Linked DNA regions of Anolis sagrei. The protein of the gene in region 1 interacts with the protein of each later gene in a biochemical or structural test. Links are inferred from orthologs where the notes say so. Each region holds a gene or a part of one and is shown on either strand. Other genes may lie near its edges.

Region 1 (10,986 bases):
AGGCTCAGACAACAACCCATAGACACCTTTGATGTATTACCAATGCTCAAACAAGGACAGCCCATAGGCTGATTCTGAGTATTGCCACAACAACCAATAATGGATTGTCAATGGGTTCCTATATTGGAAGAATAATATAAATAAAACAAACACCAACAAATACATGGTTAGATCCCATTGATTCTTATAGAAAACAACTCTTTCCTGTTCTTGTAATTGCCGTTAAGGTAATTTATTAGGTCCTGATGACTTGAATCCATTTGGAGTAGCTAGATATTCTTACACTACCAATACTGTGTGGCGTTTCCTTTACTGCTCTAATGGGAATTTTTAAATTTGATCAGCCCAATTAAAAATTAAAAAGCAATCCATTAAATGTGTTGGAAAGCCATTGGTTGCTATAAATTATAGAATGTGTCACCAATTTATCCCCCCAAAAAGGGGGACAGTCAAAATTTGCGACACGCAAGGATGACAAGTAGCTATTTCACAACTCAGCGGGAACGGACGCCTAGATTCCAGTTCTTTTCAACATGTGTTTCTCTGTTTTAAAAAAAGAACAACATATTTTCCAGTTTCATAAATTCCATGATGCACATATTTCTGCCTTCGTGGAGGGCCCAACGCTTCCAAAATTGGGGATTTTTTTCTTCTTCTGGCATCTTGTTCCATGTCAAAAGGACAAACTTTCCAAAAGAAAGGACTTTTCATATAAAGAGTATCAGCAGAATTTGATAAACAATTGCATCAAGGTAGATCTCAATCTTTTTGCAGCCAAATAACTACACATCCCAGCATTTTTATGAATGCTAGAGCAGGTGGGATTTGTAGTCTTTGAGGGATGCTCACACCTCCATCAGCTCCTAAGCTGGACTTCAGGGAACAATTTGGAAAAAGATTCCAAATCTTGCTCCTTTTTTGACTAATTCAGTGGTTCCTAACCTTTTTTTGACCAGGGACCACTTTGACCAGATACCACTTGAACCAGGACCACTTTGACCAAGGACCACTTGAGCAAGGACCACTTTGACCAGGGACCATTTGATCAAGGACCATTTTGACCAGGGACCACTTTACCAAGCATCACTTGAATAGGGACCACTTGACCAAGGACCATTTGAATAGGGACTACTTTGACCAGGGACTATTTGATCAAGGACCACTTGAACAGGGACTACTTGATCAGGGACCACTTTGACCAAGGACCACTTGACCAGGGATCACTTGATCAAAGACCACTTTGACCAGGGACCACTTTACCAAGCACCACTTGAACAGGGACCACTTGATCAAGGACCACTTTGAACAGGGACCACTTGATCAAGGACCATTTTGACCAGGGACCACTTTACCAAGCACCATTTGAACAGGGACCACTTGATCAAGGACCATTTGAACAGGGACCACTTTGACCAGGAACCACTTGACCAAGGACCACTTGAACAGGGACTACTCTCCAACATATATTATTATTATATTTTAATATAATAATGAAAAAAAACAATGTAATGATAATGTAATTACAATGTAATAACTACAATAACAACAACTGGAAGCAAAATATACACTCCCTTTCTCCCTCTGATGCTGGGAACTGTCAGCTTTATGTATAATCTGAATTGAAAGCATGCTGATCAGATTTGCAGATGGGACCAAATTGGGAATAAGAGCTAAGATCCCAAAAAGACAGGATAAGGATCCAAAAGGACCTTAACGATCAGAGAGCTGTTCAGCTAAAACTAACAGAATGCATTGCAAGAGGGAAAAATGTATAGTACTACACTCTGGCAGTAACCATGAAATGCACAGCTGTAATAGAATGGGTTTGAAAGGAGTCCATGCAAAAGGCATCTAGGTGTCTTCATAAAGAGACACAAGGAGAGGCAGGTAAGAAACAAAAGTATTATTATTATTATTATTATTATTATTACTATTATTATTATTATTATTAGCTGAACCTGAGCCAACAGTGTGATGCAGCAGTGCAAAAGGCCAATGTGATGATTCTGGGGTCTCGAGATTTTTAGGGTCTTCCTTGGATGCATTGTTGGTCAGTCAAGATGGCCTTTGGGGTCCTCCCGTGATCCCAGGATTCTCCAAACAGACTGCATCACCAGTGAAATATTTCACAAACCTATACTTATCAAGCACCTTTAGCTCGCTTGAGTCACAAAGCCAAGCCTTCCTCAGAAAGATCTCCCAAGCCTTTCTCATCCCTCTGAGACAACTCATCCACTGCAAAATTAGCCACATTTCTCTTCCAAGACTTATCCCAACCCAACCCAGTTGTCTCGCCGAAGCAGAGCATGGGAAGAATACATCATGTCAGTTTGAAATTGCTTCACTGCGAATGAATTGTGATTGCCAGCCGAAACCCAAGGGGTTCGGACAACTTGGTCCAAAAAAATATAGAAGTCGCAGACGGACGTGCAAAGTTTGACCGGACGAGAAGTTCTTAAAGAAGGAACAAGAGAACCCACTGGGCATTGGACAGATCTGAGAGACTATTGGTCCCATTTCTTGGATCCTTTGCAAGTTAGAAAGGGATCCCAAAGTGTCCAACAAGTGGGACCCATCTCCTGTTTCCATTCTCCTTTGCAACCAAAGTAACCTAGAAAAGGATGTCAGATCAGAACACAGGTGGCTCTTACTAACCAACTTGTGTGCAAATTAGAACAAAAACACACACTTTTCTGGTAACTACTCCTTTTCGATACAAACTCTCGGGCTTGATTGTCCCATGTTCTAACCACCATCCAGGCTTACTCAGAACACTTGTACATGCTCAGAGGCACTCTCTGATCCATCCCCATGACCAAGATTTGCAATTTGGAAACCATCTCTCAAACCCAGCTCATATTGCCACTCTTCCTACCCTATTTAGTTCTGATTTTTTAAAGTGAGGAATATAATGGTGGCATCACCATTTCCCTATCCAGCTGGTTTTGCAGACCCTCTTCCATCAGAAGGCTGGAGCAAAGAGTTGGGAAGTTTTGTTCCTTTCAGTGAAAGTGAGAGGAGGGATGCAAAGGGGGAGGAGGGAAGAAAAAAAAATTGGAAATCGGAGAAGACAAGACTGGAACATTGGAAGAAGTTCCCCAGAAAAGATGGAAAGGAGACAACAAGGTCCACCATCCATAGTAAGGGAAGACAGGGAAGTTCAAGATGCCCAGAGAAGAAGAAGATGGAAAGGAGACAAGATAGTCCAACACTGCAGGACGAGATCAGCCAAAAGTTGGAAGATCCCCAGCAAAGATGGAAAGATCAGAGAAGGAGAGGATGGCAAGGAGGAAAAAAGGACCACCATCTGCAGTAAAAGACCAGAAAGTCAGAATATGTCAAGAGGATGAAGTGAAAGGAGACACAGAGGTCTACATTAAGAAAAGACCAGAAAGTTAGAAGATGCCAAGAGAAGGAGAAGGTGGAAAAGAGGCAAGGAGGCCCACTGCTGTAGGGTGAGATGAGCAGAAAGCTGGAAGAGCTTCAGAGAAGGAGAAGATGCAGAGATGGTCCACCATCCACAAGAAGAGAAGACTGGAAAGTTGAAAGATGCCCAGAGAAGGAGAAGATGGAATGGAGGCAAGGAACACCATTTGCATTAAGAAAAGACCAGAAAATTAGAAGATACCCAGAGAAGAGGAAGATAGAGAGGAGACAAGGAGGTCTACCATCCACAGGAAGAGAAGACCAGAAATTTAGAAGACGCCCAGAGAAGGAGAAGATGGAGAGAATGCAAGGAGGTCCAATGCCACAGGAAGGGATGAGCAGAAAATTGGAAGAGCCTCAGAGAATGAGAGGATGGAAAGGAGAAGACTAGAAAGTTGAAAGATGCCCAGAGAAGGAGAAGATGGAATGGAGGCAAGGAGCACTATTTGCATTAAGAGAAGTCCAGAAAGTTAAAAGATGCCCAGAGAAGAGGAAGATGGAAAGGAGACGAGGTCCATCATTTGCATTAAGAGAAGACCAGAAAATTGGAAGATCCCGACAGAAGGAGAAGAAAAGGAGACAAGGAGGTTGACCATATGCAGAAAGAGATGAGCAGAAAGTTAGAAGATGCCCAGAGAAGATGGAAAGGAGACAAGGATGTCCACCATTCATATTAAAAGAACCAGAAAGTTAGAAGATGCCCAGAGAAGAAGATGGAAAGGAGACAAGGATGTCCACCATTCATATTAAAAGAACCAGAAAGTTAGAAGATGCCCAGAGAAGAAGATGGAAAGGAGACAAGGATGTCCACCATTCATATTAAAAGAACCAGAAAGTTAGAAGATGCCCAGAGAAGAAGATGGAAAGGAGACAAGGATGTCCACCATCCGCATGAAAAGAAGACCAGAAAGTTAAAAGATGCCCAGAGAAGAAGATGGAAAGAAGACAAGGAGGTCCAATGCTGCAGGAAGAGATGAGCAGAAAGTTGAAAGGTCCTCACAGAAGGAGAGGATGGAAAGGAGGCAAGGAGGTCCACCAGTAGCCTATCCAAGGGCTGGCCTTCCTTCTACATGGAGGGGATGCATGCTAACCCCCCAAACCAGGTAGCCTGAGCCTGGAGTGGGCTCTCCCTTTGCTTACCTCCTTGCCACGAAGCCGGGAGGCTGGAGAGGAGGAGAAGGAGGAGGCCGGCTGCTCCAGAAAGGAGGGAAGAAGTCCACGGCTTAGCCATCTCTCCCCAGCAATGCCCCAGTCTGCTGGCGGCCCGAGCGGTTTTATCCCAGCGGTGCCGCAGCTCAATTTGCGGCTTCCAGAGACTTTTTTTTCAGGGGGTGGGTGGGCTGAAAAAAGAGGGGGTCTAGAGAGAAGGAGGGAGGGAGAAGGAGGAGAACGGCCCGGGACACGACGTCATCCAGAGAGGGCAAACAAACAGGAGAGTTTTTTGGGCTGGCTTCCCTTGTTTCGAAAAATCTCTCCCTCTCGGTCGTCTGGGCCCAGTCTCTTGCCAAAAGCGAGCACAGCTGCCAAGAAAAGACAAGAGTTTGTAGGAAAAGGAGGTGTTTGGAGCTCCCTCTAGCTTGGGACGGCAGCCCTGACCCAACTCCATAAAGGATGTGTCTACACCGGCGAAAAGAAGGCAGACTCACTCCCAAATCCTGCAGTGGATCTGTCTCTGGGCCCAAGCTAACTCCAAACTCTCTTCATGCGCATCAGCGCTCTGCGGTTCACATCAGCACCATCCGGGCGTCCAACTGGTTCCAGGATTTCCAAGGCAATCACCTGTGCTTACTTCCATAGTGGTTTGAAACTGTGTTAAATGGTCAGTTAGACAGGGCCCTTGTTTGCCCACAACCCAACTTTCTTCAAAGCGAAGCAAAGTCAGAAGGAAGGACTACGTTTCACGGGAACTCCGGAGTGACTTTTGGTTCTTTGATGGTGCGGACAGCTCAAGTGAATCATGGAACCAGAACATCAAAGAGTTGGAAGAGACCCCAAAAGCCATCTAGTCCAACTTCCTCCTACCAAGCAGGAGGACACCACCTAAGCCCTCTTGACAGATGGCCATCCAGACAAAGATAATGGTCATAGATATGATATATATGATTGAGAGAAGGAGATATTTTTGTGTGTGTCAAAAGCAGCTTGAGAAACTTGAGATAATTGGCCGTCTGCAAGGATGTTGCCCAGGGGACGCCTAGATGTTTTTGGTGTTTTACCATCCTGTGGGAGGCTTCTCACATATCCCCACATAAGAAGCTGGAGCTGACAGATGGGAGCTCACCCACGCTCGCCAGATTCAAACCACTGACCTGTCTGTCAGCAGTCCTGCCGACATGAGGGTTTAACCCATTTTGCCACCGTGGGTTCTAGAATAATAAAAGTCTAGAACGTATGTATGTGGATGTATAGGTATGTGTGTATGTGGCAGCTTTCTGATTGGCTCCCACTTCCACAGGACACTGTGACCCCCATGAAAGACGAACCTGGACCAAACTTGGTACACATAACCCCCATGACCCATTTTACATCCTGGTGTAGTTTGGGGGAGGATGGCTGACAGATGGTGGGATTTGCAGTACTTTCAATCACTTCAGCTCCCACAGACCACTGTGACCCCACCAATGATGGAACAGGACCAAACTTGGTACACAGACCCCACATGACCCACTTTACAGCCTGGTGTGGTTTAGGGGAGGATGGACCACGGATGATGGGACTTGCAGTACCTTCACTCACTTCCTGAGACCACTGTGACCCCCACCAATGACAGATCAGGACCAAACATAGCACACAGAGCCCCCATCGCCCATCCTGGTGCAGTTTGGAAGAGGATGGACCATGGATGATGGGACTTGCAGTACCTTCCCTCACTTCCTGAGACCTCTGAGACCCACACCAATGAAGGATCAAGACCAAACTTGGCACACAGAGCCCCCATCGCCCATTCTACATCCTAGTGCAGTTTGGAAGAGGATGGACCATAGATGATGGGACTTGAAGGACTTTCACTCACTTCCTGAGTCCACTGAGACCCACACCAATGACGGATCAAGACCAAATTTGGCATACAGAACCCCCATGACCCACTTTACAGAAGGAGCTGATTAGATATGTTTGAAGAGGGAGAGAAATGGTAGATATATCTTCAAATCCTTCAATCGGAAGGGACCACAAGGAGGACACCAAGCAGGAAGACACCACCCAAGCCCTCCCTGACAGGTGGCCATCCCCCTCTGCTTAAAGACCCCCAGAGAAAGGGGCTCCACCACACTTGGAAAACAAGGGGGCCCAGACAATTGGGGGGGGGGGGGGACAGAACGTCTGGAGATAGCCTATCTCCAAAAGCATTCTTCCTTTGCTTCCAAACAGCTGAGCCGGAGATTCGGAGCCAACGGGGCTGAGGGCCAGACATGGCTCAAGCTGTTTTGTGCTCCGATATCCCACACCTGGAGCCCCAAAAAGGGCAAGGGAGGGCACCGGACGTGGCTGACACAACACAAGACACAGGCAGACAAAAGGAACATCCGATCCCCCGCAACGGCAACAATCTCTTGTCGCTCATCTGGGATGGATGGGTTTGCTTTGGCAGGAGGTTTTGCCGACACATTCCTGGGCCCTGCGATGTTCCGCAAATGGAAACAGGGAAGGGCCTGGCCATGCAAAGTACAGTCAAGATGGCACATGTTATTCATCGCGAAGACCAGGCAAGGTAGATGAGGATGCAGCCATTTGCTTTTGCCAGAGCCAACTGGGAAGGGTCCTAAGCAAATGCCTCTGTGTACTAAGATCTATATCTTTGGGAGGGGGAGGGGGAGGGGAAGGTAGGTTGGACTACAACTCCCAAAGGACATCCAGATGTTTTGGGTCCAGCTGCAAAGTCAGCCTGGCAGGCTTCCCTAGGTCAGCGACCGCAGACAGCGCTATGTTTCCCAATTTCAAGGGTGTGCATTTGAGTGTGTGTATATCTTTCTCTCTTTCTTTCTTTTGCTCTTTCTTTCTTTCTTCTCTCTCTCTCTCTCTCTCTCGCGTTTCCACTTGGCTCCGGACGGCTCCAGATGGCCATCTGTCTGTCTGGGAGGATGCAGGCTCCACTTCTGAAGGAACCGCTCTGTTTTCCTTTGCAAAAATGCCTTCTCCTCCCTTTCTTCTGTTCTCTTTCTCCCTTCATCCAGCTGCCTTGGTACTGGATTGCAAAACATGGTGAGGCGGGCGACTCGTGCGAGGAGAACACACAAGTTGCACTGAGAGAAAAGTCTTCTTGTCTGGTCTGAGACACCCCTTGCCACCTTTTTCCAAAAGGTGTAAGGTCATACAATGCTTTATATGAGGTTACACTGACCATACAACACCTTATATGACCCCACACTGATCATACAGTACCTTATATGCATCTATATTTACTATGCAATCCCTTATGAGCCTACTGATCATATAATGCCCTACCTAGAACAGCAACAACATGACTCCATACTGACCATACAACGCCTTATATGACTCCACATGTATCTATATTGACCATTCAATGCCTTATGAGTCTACTGATCATACAATGTCTTATATGCCTCTACGCTGACCACACAATGCCTTATGAGACTTTATACTGACCATACCATTTCTTATATGCATCTATGTTGACAATTCAATGCCTTATGAGTATACTGATCATCTAATGCCTTACTCTGACCCTATAAAGTGCTTTATATGTGTCTACACTGACAATGCCATGCATTATATGAGTCTATATTTACCACACAATGCCATATACTGACTGTATAATGCCTTAAACGAGTACACTGACCGTGTAATGCCTTACACATGTTCACACTAACCGTATAATGCCTTACACGAGTTTACATTGACCTTATAATGCCTTACGCGAGTCTATACTGATTGTATGATGCTTTACACAAGTCTACGCTGACTTTATAATGCCTTGCATGAGTCTACACTGACCGTATAATGTCTTACAGGAGTCTACACTGACCATATAATTCCTTACACTAGTCTACACTGACCGTATAATGCCTTACACGAGTCTACATTGACTGTATAATGCCTTACACGAGTCTACGCTGACCTTATAATGCCTTACACAAGTCTACACTGACCGTATAATTCCTTACACGAGTCCACACTGACTGTATAATGCCTTACAGGAGTCTACACTGACCGTATAATGCCTTACACAAGTCTACATTGACTGTATAATGCCTTACAGGAGTCTACGCTGACCTTATAATGCCTTACAGTATTTACACTGACCCTGTAATTCCTTACACGAGTCTACACTGACCGTATAATGCCTTACATGAGTCTACGCTGACCTTATAATGCCTTATGCGAGACTACACTGATTGTATGATGCTTTACATGAGTCTACACTGACTTTATAATGCCTTACATGAGTCTACACTGAGCATATAATGCCTTACAGGAGTCTACACTGACCATATAATGCCTTACGCGAGTCTACACTGACCGTATAATGCCTTACACGAGTCTACACTGACCATATAATTCCTTACACAAGTCTACACTGACCGTATAATTCCTTACACGAGTCCACACTGACCATATGATGTCTTACACAAGTCTACACTAACTGTATAATGACTTACATGAGTCTCCATTAACCATATAATGCTTTACACAAATCTACACTGATGATATAATGCCTTACACGAGTCTACACTGACTGTATGATGTCTTACACGAGTCTACATTAACTCTATAATGCCTTGGACGGGTCTACACTGACCATATAATACTTTACACGAATCTACACTGACTGTATAATACCTTACACAGGTCTTCACTGATCATACACCTGACATGAGTCTACACTGCTCATATAATGCCTTATATGAGTCTACACTGACCATATAATACATGATATGAGCCCACATTGACCATTTATATATTGCCATTTCTCACCGCCTTCTATGCCATTGTTGATGAGACCTGTTTGCAGCAATTGAAGCGAGCTGAGGCTGAGGGAACAAGGCGGGAGAAGAAGAAAATAACCAGGACAGAGGAAAACATGGGACGCAAAAGGAGTCACGGGTGTGTTTTTGGTTCGGACAAGAAGGTGGACACCCGCCAAGGACATGCCTCCTTGTCCTCCTTGTGCAAAAGCTCCGAGTTCCTGCTCCGTGAGTCACCCTCTGCTATGTTTAGCAGCTCCACGGGACGCCTCCGGCTCCTTTTCCAACAACATCGAGGAAAGGGGCGAAGATGAAAGCCAGGCCGAGGGCCCTCCATGCTGGGGCCAGCGGGCAGCCGGAGGCGGTATTGACCTTGGCTCTGCTTGGGCTTTGGCACTGTTCTCCCTTCGCTCGGCACCAGCTCCCAAGGCTGGTCTGCGTCTCCTAGGCCAGATTTGGTCTTCATTTGGACCTCGGAAACAGAGAGAGGTGAGGAGCAGGGCATCCCAAGGAAGAAATTGAATGGTGGGCCGCCACATCCCATCATCCTCTGCAAGAAGGGCATCCCAGTTGGATCCCAGTCTGGAGTTGGCTATAGTCAACACTCCATTGGGATTTCCTCAGATTTGGGATGCAGAAGCTTTCTGTAGAATGCTAAAGTTGGAAGAGACCTCAAAGGTCATCCAGCCTAACCCCATTCATGCAAAAAGACAATCTGAGACCTCCCAACAGATGACCATCCAGCCTGTGCTTATCATTAATTGATTGATTCGTTGATTGAATCATAGAATCCTAGAGTCAGAAGAGACTCCAAAGACCATTCAGTCTAACCCCATTGATACAAAAAGACACAATTCGAACCCTCCTGACAGATGGCCAACCAGCCTGTGCTTGACTATTAATTGATTGATTAGTTGATTGAATAATAGAATCCTAGAGTTGGCCATCCAGTCTAACCCCATTCATACAAAAAAAGCACAACCCAAGCCCTCCCAGCTATCCAGCATGTGCTTGATTATTAATTGATTGATTAGTTGATTGAATCCTAGAGTCAGAAGACACCCCAAAGGCCATCTAGTCTAACTCCATTCTACCATGCAAAAAGGCATATTCTGAGCCCTCCTGACAGATGGCCATCCCACTTGTGCTTAATTAATTGATTAATTGGTTGATTGATTCATAGAATTCTAGAGTTGGAAGAGACCCCAAAGCTATTCTGCCATGCAAAAGGCACAATTTGATCCCTTTCAACAGATGGCCACCCAGCCTCTGAAAAATCCATTTCATAGAATCATAAAGTCCTAGAGTTGGAAGAGACCCCAAAGGCCATGCAAAAACCTATTTTGGGCACCAAAGTTGGGAGGGCATTGATTGCATCTACCTGCCTGGTAGAAGGGAGTTGGGCTGGATGGCCTTTGGGGTCTCTTCCCACTCTAAGGGCCCATGGTTTTGCCTCCTTCGCACACCCAAATGGTGCCAAGGTCAGGTCACAAGCAAAGGGAGCTTGGCCTATGCAGTTTTGCAAGGTTTTTGCAATGGACAAGAATGACCCTCTGTCTCTGAGCCGCTCTGCAGGTGTGGCGCCCCAAGCCTTCGGTGAAGGAAAGAGACGCTGAGGACATGGCTGGCAATCGGC
Region 2 (10,099 bases), on another chromosome or scaffold:
TGTCCAGGTGGAGGCCACAAGGGGATCTTGACAGAGAGGACAGTCCCTTTTACAGGGGGTGGGGGAGAATTTAAAACCCTACACCTATGTTGCTGTCATCGAAACTATCATTGTTTATGACATGGGAAAGGGAGGGGCAGAAATAACCAGCTAAAATAGGGGAAATGATTTTCTTCCTTCAACTCCCCCTTCCCTCCAATAAAATGAACTATACTTCTCTCTATAGGTCTTCTTATGGAGTCCACCTAGATAATGGAACAGTATTACTTGCCATATGTAAGCCACCTTGAGTCCTTTTCAGAGTAAAGAAAGGTGGGTATTAATAGGGTAAATAAATAAATAATAGATGGTCTTTGTTTTGCTGTCTGTGCTTTGTTCAGAAGATATCACCTCACTTTCTGTATCTATAAGAATTGGATTTTGCAAAATGAGGCTTGTGGAAACAAGGCTTGGTGATACAGCTTCAGTGGAGACACCTTTTCCCCATGATAACTCCTCTCCAGGAGTGAATTTCCCTTCCCAGGGGTAGATTTCTCTCACTTCCTGTTGTCTCACCCTTGTTCTGAACTAGGAGTTGTTTGTCACTTAGGGACTGCCTGTACTTTGAACTTCAGCTCCCAAGATCCCTGATCATTAGCCAAGACTAGGGCCAATACTCCTGTAAGCTGAAATCCAAAACACCTGAAAGGACAATGGATTGTTGTGAGCTAGCTGATGTTTCATCCAAATCTATGGCAGCCATCCTCAGAGATTGTGAGGTGTGTTGGAAACAAGGCAAGTGGGGTTTATATATCTGTGGCGCGTCTAGGATGCCTACCACAGATGTGAGTGAAATGTCAGGAGAGAATGCTTCTGGAGCATGGCCATACAGCCCAGAAAACTCACAGCAACCCGGTGATTCCGGCCATGAAAGCCTTCGACAACACACTTGAAAGGACAGGCTGCCTCCTACAGAATCCTGGGGTTTGTAGGCTAGTGAGGACCAGGACTTCTCTGGCACAGAATGTTGAAGCTGCAGAATGCAGCCATAGGATTTAAAGTGGATGAAGACATTCTATGAGGCATGGGCAAGCATGGGCCCTCCAGGTGTCAACTTCAACTCCAACCATTCCTAACATCCTCAGGCCTTTTCCTTTTCCCTTAAGCAGCAGAGGGGGGGGAAGGAAAGGGCCTGAGGGTGTTAGAATGGTGGGAGTTGAAGTCCAAAACACCTGCAAGTCCCAAGTTGGCCCATGACTTTGTGTGATGGGTGAACCTTTCTGTGGCTTGCCTCTGCGCATAGGTCAGTGTTTCTAAACCTAGGGGTCGGGACCCCTGGGGGGTTGCGAGGGGGCATCAGTGGAGTTGCCAAAGACCATCAGAAAACACAATATTTTTGGTTGATCAGGGAGGTTCTGTGTGGATGGGGTTCTGTCGTTAGTGGGGTTCTGAATGCTCATTGATTGTAGGTGAGCTATAAATCCCAGCAACTACAACTCCCTAAATGTCAAGCTCTATTTTCCCCAAACTCCACCAGTGTACACATTTGGGCATATTGAGTATTTGTGCCAAGTCTACTCCAAATCTATAATTGTTTGAGTCCACAGTGCTGTCTGGATGTAGGTGAACTACAACTCCAAAACTCAAGGTCAATGCCCACCAAATCCTACCAGTGTTTTCTGTTGGTCATGGGAGTCCTGTGTGCCAAATTTGGTTCAATTCCATTGTTTGAGTTCAGAAATGCTCTTTGATTGTAAGTTAACTATACATTCCAGCAACTACAACTCCCAAATAACAAAATTAATCCTTCCCCCAACCCCACCAGTATTCAAATTTGGGCGTATTGGGGTTTTGTGCCAAATTTGGTCCAGTGAATGAAAATACATCTTGCATATCAGATATTTAAAATATGAAACTCCCTTCCTAGTAATATTAGATCGGCCCCCTCCCTCCTGTCCTTCAGAAGGATGGTGAAGACCTGGCTGTGGGACCAAGCCTTTGAGGAAGTGCAATGAGGCAAAATGGTGTCCTGAGATGGTCTGTAAACAACTTTTAATGTTAATATACATTATTTTAAGGTTTGTATATACTTATGGTTTTATGTCCCGGCATTGAAAGTTTGCCGTGTGTGTGTATGCAGGCCCGTAGCCAGGATTTCGATTTGGGGGGGGGGGGGCTGAGTCTGAGTGAAAGAGGGTCTACCCTAGCAAACCTTTTGTATTGTTACCCCAATACCCCCATGCATACGGGATATATTGTGTAAGGTGATCAGATTAAGATATGAATACACATAACAGTTTAAATAATGCACCAGTAAGGCCTTTTCGCGAACCACCATGAGAATTTCGGGGGGGGGGCTGAAGCCCCTCAAGCCCCCCCCCCGCTACATGCCTGTATGTGTGTGCGTGTGTGTTTATGTGCATGTGTATATGTGTGTGTGTGTGTGTATATATACACACACACCTCTCGTAGGTGTGTATATGTGTGTGTGTGTGTGTGTGTGTGTATGTGTATGTATATATATATATATATATATATATATATATATATATATGTTGTGCTCCCTCCTGAGTCCCCTGCGGGATGAGAAGGGCAGAATATAAATGTTTTAAATAAATAAATAATTCATAACACTAGCAAAAAAAATGAGCCCCCAGTGGCACAGTGGGTTAAAAGCACTGAGCTACTTGACTTGCTGATTGAAAGGTCACAGATTCAAATCCAGGGAGCAGTGTGAGCTCCCGCTATTAGCCCCAGCTCCTGCCAACTCAGCAGTTCAAAAGCATTCAAATGTGAGTAGATCAATAGGTACCACTCTGGCGGGAACATAACTGCACTCCATGCAGTCATGCCGGCCACATGATCTTGGAGGTGTCTATGGACAACGCCTGCTCTTTGGCTCAGAAATGGAGATAAGCACCAAACCCCAGAGTCAGACACGACTGGACTTAATGTCAGGGGAAAACCTTTACCTTAACCTTTACTTTAGCAGCAGCAAAATTACAATTGTGAAGTAGGGACGAAAATAAGGTGATAGTGGTTGGGGGGGGGGGTGGTCACCACAACCTGAGGAACTGTATTAAGGGGTTGGGGCATTAGGAAGGCTGGGAACCACTGACATAGGCACTTCCAAGAGAGAGACACGGATTCGCCTTCTTACCATACTGGAAGTACCCCGTGCCATAACCGGGCCGGTACCGGCTGCTCTGCCGGGGCCTCTCGTAGGTGTCGTGGTAGTTGTAATACGGGTTGTCGTCGGTGTACTTGTAAGGGTTGTAGGGGTCGTCGCCCTGCATCACGTCATCGCGGCGGCGGGGCAAGCTGTTCAGTGGAGGCGCATTGCTGCTGCTGCTGCTGGTGGTGGTGTTGTTGCCCGGCCGGGAGGAGGCGCTCTCGGGCGGCGGCGCTCTCCTCCCTCCTCCTCCTCCTCCGGCTTGGAACCAAAGGCGCGGCTCTTGCCCCTGGGCGTCGGGGGCGAGGGAGGGCGGCGAGGCGGGAGGCGCAGCCCTGCGCGGAGCCGTCCCGTTCCCCCGGAGCAGCAGGACGTGGTTGCCTTGCGGCGCCTCCGAGCTGTGCCTCCTCCGCGGAGGCTGGTACTGGGAGCCCACGCTGAGGAGGCTGTACACCTGCCCGTTGTTCTCCCACTGAATCCGCTGCTGCCACACCGCCGGGGGAGGAGGAGGAGGAGCGGGGTTCCTCGGAGGAGGCAATCCCTCCGCTTGGAGCCAGAAGAGGCCGAGCCAACAGAGAAGCCGGGAGAAGAGGCGCATCGTGGCTTCACGGTGTTCACAACAACACCACTCGTGCCTTTGGGAGCAGTAATAATACAAAGCGGAGCAGCCCGTCCTCTTTGATGAGCCCCTTCGACTGAGGTCTCGCTTCCTTACTAGTCTGAAAACCACCTCTCACTTTCTCTCTTCTTCCCAGATGGGTTTTCTCCGCTGAATGAAGAGCGAAAAGGAGCCCTTTCTCTCTGCTTCCCAATTGGGGTTCCTTCCTTCCCTTGAAGAGATGAGTATGGAGAGAGAAGGCGCCCTCTTTCTCTTTCTTTCTCTCTCTCTCTCTCCTTCCCAATTGTGTTTTCTTCTCTCCACTGGAGAGATGGATGTGGAAAGGAGCGAGTCTCTCTCTGTGTGCGCCTCTTTCTCTCTCTCTCTCTCTCTCTCTCTCTCTCTCTCCCTTTGGCTGCTGTCTGGGACCAAGAGACGGAGGAGGGGAGAAAGGCTGGGGAGGAGGGATTCTGCTTTATTATTTTTTCAAACTTTTCTGGCACAGTTGCAAAGTTACACAAGGCTGTTTGTTCACGTAATGGGATTCCTGACATGAGATGTCGACGGCGCCCCCATTTTTTTCCTCCTCTCACTGATAGACACAGGGTGTATCTACTCTATACTGTGGAATAAATACAGCCTGAAACCATTTCAGATAACCTAGTTGAAAGCAGATATTGTGGGATTTTCTGCTTTGATATCATGGGTTATAGGGCTGTGTGGAAGGGCCCATAAGATCTGGGCAATTTCAGCACTGGGGAGCCTTCCACATAGCCCTATATCCCAGAATATCAAGGCAGAAAATCCCACATTATCTGAGGACCTTTCCAAACAGACCCTGTATATCCCAGGATCTGATCCCAGGTTTTCTGTTTATCCCAGATTATCTGAAGGTGGGGATTTATATAATCCAGTTTAATGCAGAAAAACTGGGATCAGATCCTGGGATATAGGACCTTTCTGGAAGGGCCCCAAAGTGTGGACTCAGATAACCCAGTAGAAAGCAGATATTGTGGTATTTTCTGCCTTGATATTCTGGAATATAGGGCTATGTGGAAGGCCCCCCAGTGCTGAAATTGCCCAGATACTAAACAGCCTCTGGGGATGCCTGCCATAGATGCAGGCAAAATGTCAGGAAATAATGCTTCTGGAACATGGCCATACAACCCGAAAAATGTACAGCAACCCAGTGATTCCAGCCATGAAAGCATTTGACAAAGCAGAGTTGATGCCCCCCTCCAAACTACAAATCCCATTGTCCCACGAATACACCACAGCATTGAACCATGGCAGTTAAAGGGGGGGGGGTCAAACTGTATGCGTGTGTGTGTGTACACACACATATATTCATTCAAAGGGGTTGGATCATGTTTGCACATATTATAAGTTTTGATTTATTTTTTTAAAATGGAATAACTTAACTAAATTCTAGCCACTTCTAATATTACCCTATTACTAAAGACAATAAGACAAACAAGGACAGACCCCTATTCCATAATAATAATATTAATACTACTACTACTACTACTAATAATAATAATAATAATAGTAAATGACACAGTCCTAGATGCTTGGGAAATGTTCGACTTGTGATTTTGTGATACGAAATCCAGCATATAGATCTCGTTTGCTGTGACATATTGTGCTTTTGTGTCAGTAAAATAATAATAATAATAATAATAATAATAATAATAATAATAAGCTGCTACAAGAAGATCGCACAGACTACAAGCAGAGGCATAACGCCATTGCTCAGATGATTCATTGGAATTTGTGCCACAAATGCTATCTGCCTGTGACAAAGAACTGGTGGGATCACAAGCCAGAAAAAGTTACAGAGAATGAATACGCCAAGCTACTCTGGGACTTCCAAATTCAAACAGAGTTTTGGAGCACAATACTCCTGACCTCACAATCATGTTAAAAAACAAAGTATGGATTGTTGATGTTGCAGTCCCAGGTGACAGCAGGATTGAAGAGAAACAACTGGAAAATCTGACATAATATGAGGATTTAAAGATCAAACTCCAAAGACTCTGGCACAAGCCAGTAAAGATGGTCCCAGTGGTGATCGGCACACTGGGTGCAGTGCCTAAAGACCTTGGCCTGCACTTAAACACAATCGGCGCTGACAAGATTACCATCTAACAGCTGCAGAAGGCCACCTTACTGGAATCTGCACGCATTATTCGTTGATACATCACACAGTCCTAGACCTTTGGGAAGCCCAATTTAAGGTGCAGGTGCTTACCTACAAAGCCCTAAACGGTTTGGGACCATCCTACCTGCGTGACCGCATCTCCATGTACGAACCCACGCGTTCACTTCGTTCATCCGGAGAGGCCCTGCTCATGATTCCGCCTTTGTCACAGGCACGTTTGGTGGGGACACGAGACAGGGCCTTTTCTGTGGTGGCCCCCCAACTCTGGAACACCCTCCCCAAAGATCTTAGACAGGCCCCTACGTTGGCAGTCTTTAGAAAGAACTTGAAGACCTGGCTGTTCCGATGTGCCTTTCCAGAATAGGAAAACTCCAATAACAAGTCCCAGAAGCACTTTATTAGAATTAAGATTGCTGGCACACTGCACATACCCTATAATCCTTACATATCACCTGTCACTTCAGCACTTTTAATCTGTACCCATTACTCTGGCCCGGCCCAGTTTTATTGTGTCTTGGTGTATTGTTTATTGCTTGTTGTTTAATTTTGCTTTAACTGTTTTTAATTTTTTAATTTGCTTTAGGTTGTGTATTGTTATGTTGTGTTTTGAGGCCTTGGCCTTTGTAAGCGGCATCGAGTCCTTCGGGAGATGCTAGCGGGGTACAAATAAAGTTAATAATAATAATAATAATAATAATAATAATAATAATAATAAGTGTCTGACGTGTGATCCAATACAACAGCCAGCAGAGTGTCTGCTGTGGACTCATCTTGTTGTGTTTCAAGTAATAATAATAATAAACTTTATTTATATCCCACCACCATCTTCCCAAAGGGACTTGGGACAGCTTACTAAGGCACTCCAGGGTGCAGCATATAACATAAAATGGTACAAAAATATAAAACAATAAAACATAACATTATAACAACAACCATTACCAATGCATATAACAAAAAATAAAATTGCTCCATTTTATAATGCAGAACACCTGTAGATAAAAACTAGTTGCCAGCAATTCACAAACTAAAGTACCAGCATGTCAACCTCATTTAGGCCCATTACAGCCTACTTGAGGTTAAAGGCCTGTTTAAAAATCCTTGTTTTTAGGCTAGATCGGAAGGATTGGGGGGTGGGGGCTAACCTAATCTCTTATGGGAGGGTATTCCAGAGCTGGGGAGCCACCACCAAAAAGCCCTCTCTCAAGAGAAGGGACTCCTCTGCAGATCTCAAAGCCCGCACCGGTTGATAGAAAGAAATGCAGTCTCGAAGATAGGTTGAACCCGGAAACTAGTTGGAAGAGAGTAGAGCTGCTTTAATAGAGGTGTGGTATGCTCTCTATAACTAGCCCCAGTTAATAATCTGGCAGCCAACCTTTGCACTAGCTGCAGTTTCTGAACCATCTTCAAAGGCAGCCCCACGGAAAGTGCTTACCATAGTCCATTCTGGATTTAACTAAGGCATGGACCACCATGGCCAAGTCAGGCTTCTCGTGGTACAGTCACAGTTGGCACATAGTGTGAAGGCGCTCCCAGCCACTGCCAACAACTGAGCTTCAAGCATCAATGATGAATCCAGGAGAACCCCCAGACTCCGGACCTGTGTCCTCAGGGGGAGTGTAGCCCCGTCGAGCACAGGTTGACACCCTATACCCCGATCCACCTCACGACTGAACAAGAGGACCTCTGTCTTGTATGGATTAAGCCTCAGATTGTTGGCTCTCATCCAGTCCATCACAGCTGCCAGGCACTGGTCCAGGATATGGAGAGCTTCCTTGGAGTGAGGTGGAAAAGAGTAGTAGATTTGAGTGTCATCTGCATTATCCTATAGCATTGAGCTATGGCAGTTAAGAGGGTGTCAAACTGCATTCCTTTTAAAAAATATATTATTATGTTTATTTATACCCTGATTTATCACTCCAGAGGAAACTCGGGGCCCTTCCATACAGCCATATAACCCAGAATATCAAGGCAGAAAATCCCACAATATCTGCTTTGAACTAAGTTATCAGAGGGCCGTTCTAGACAGACCCTATATCCCAGGATCTGATTCCAGGTTTTCTGTTTATCCCAGATTATCTGGCAGTGTGGACTCTAATTCAGTTTAAAGCAGAACACCTGGGATCAGATCCTGGGATATAGGACCTGTCTGGAAGAGCCCTGAGTCCACACTGCTGTATATTCCAGTTCAAAGCAGATAATGTGGGATTTTATTCAGCCGTGTGGAAGGGGCCTCAATGTGACTTACATTAAAAGTATTACTACATAATTTAAAATATACTATTATTCAAACATTAAAAGAGAATTAAACATAACAGTATTTTAAAAAATCACAGTTAAAATCAATTAAACATATTCAAAGTTTAAACCATAGCACCCCCTGACTTGACACTCCGTAATGCTCTTTTTGGGGTGGTATCTGAGGGAAGCCAAGAGGGTCGAGGCAGAGTTGGTTTCCACACAGAAGATGGCCATAAGGGTTAACAGCAGCAGCAGGCAGGCTTCCTTCTCCTTTCCTCTTTCCTCAGACTCCTGAGGCCTTGCCAGGTGCTGAGGCGCCGCCAAAATATGCACAGAGAAAAATGCTATTAGATCATCAGCGCCGACTCAGAGAGAGACCAGAAAGCTGAGTCCAAAGAGAGGAGACGGAACATGTTTTCTGGGAAATGTGTTATTTTTTGCCCTAGACCTCTTTCTCCCATCATAGGAGCTCTGAGGGGAACCTTAGTGGTGTCTGAGGTGGGAAAGTCCAGAATAAGAGAAAGCCCAACAACTCGATGTCCACTTGTCATTATGACCTCCTTGTATAAACTCCTGCATACCAAGTTTTGTGGGCCTTTTTATTCTGGGGTGAGTCTTTGGTGGTGACTGAGGTGGAAATGCACAAAACACAAATCTCTCAACAAGGCAGCTTCACCTCAACACCACACACATTACAACAGCCACTCCACATCCGCTTGAAACGCTCCTTATTCAGTATGGTCCAAATCCACCTCAAATAAACTCCTGCATACCAAGTTTAGTTTTGTTTTTTAACACTGGGGTGAGTCACAGGAGGACTTCGTGACCGACGTGTCTCCTGGAAGAGAGACTCACTTCAAAACAGGGTTTTCCCCGAGAGGAACCCACTGTCATGTCCAAAAATGTCAGACGGGGAAATGGGAGAGGTTTTTCCTCTCCTTTTTTCTGAGGAAAATGTTAGTAATTCTATTATAAGGAATCGAGACAATCTGCTGAATCCCAACAGAGATCCTGCAGCCAAAGGTTCAACCATTCATATCTTAAAAGAAAATCTTGGATTTGATGTCAAAGGCTTTCATGGCCCGAATCACTGGGTTCCTGTGAGCTTTCCGGGCTATATGGCCATACAGCCCAAAAAACTCACAGTAACCCAGTGATTTCAGCTATATGGAGTTTGTGCGCTTTTGCATTGGATCAGTAATGGGCAACTGTTGGCCATTGGGGGAATGCCCTGGAGGTCCAGACCTCCAAATCTCCCATGACTCCCAGTATATCATAGGGACAGGAGTAATATTGCTAGCCTTTTTGGTCCTTCTGGGGCCATTTTAAACCCAGGACAGGCCCAGCCAACTTCTGGATCAGTCCCTGGTGTATGTGTGTGTGGGGGCGGGGTGGGGGGGGGGGGTGGGGGTAAAATGTTCAATACAAAGCAAAATGTGGCAGAATTGTCCCTCATTATTTAGCACAGGCATGGGCAAACTTCAGCCCTCCGGGTGTTTTGGACTTCAACTCCCATAATTCCTAACAGCCAGCAGGCTGTTGGGAATGGTGGGAGTTGAAGTCCAAAACACCTGGAGGGCTGAAGTTTGTCCATGCCTGTTTTAACAGTAGTTCAATGACATTGGCGTGCCAAAAAGGCTTTTGGCCTAAAGTACTATGTGTTTCCCATCTACATTAGATCCTTAAGGATCTTGTAAGAACTGTATACTCAAAATACTGTAAACTATTTTGAGCATGGGTATCAATTTTCACACTAATCAAAAGGTGTGTGACAGTTAAGAGCCAGTGTGGTGTATTGATTTGTGTGATGGGCTTTAGAAGAGGCAGCATCAACAACAATGTATTTGTTACACGGCTCAATGTTTGGTACAACATAGTTAAAACACATAGATACTAGGGTTCGAATCCCTGCTCAGCTGTGGAAACCCACTAGGTGACATACTCTCAACCT

The links.
Region 2: the proteins of ELN (region 1) and LOX form a complex in vitro, tested with the Homo sapiens proteins (2 studies listed by BioGRID and IntAct). The link is inferred for Anolis sagrei from reciprocal best matches to the Homo sapiens genes ELN and LOX.

Annotation. Positions count from the first base shown.
Region 1 is NC_090031.1:33,491,272-33,502,257, forward strand, and holds the start of ELN (elastin), read right to left. Parts: upstream 4,953-10,986; 5' UTR 4,658-4,952; coding exon 4,567-4,657; intron 1-4,566. UniProt on the Homo sapiens protein: Major structural protein of tissues such as aorta and nuchal ligament, which must expand rapidly and recover completely.
Region 2 is NC_090022.1:240,382,109-240,392,207, reverse strand, and holds the start of LOX (protein-lysine 6-oxidase), read right to left. Parts: upstream 4,153-10,099; 5' UTR 3,750-4,152; coding exon 3,140-3,749; intron 1-3,139. UniProt on the Homo sapiens protein: Responsible for the post-translational oxidative deamination of peptidyl lysine residues in precursors to fibrous collagen and elastin. Regulator of Ras expression. May play a role in tumor suppression. Plays a role in the aortic wall architecture.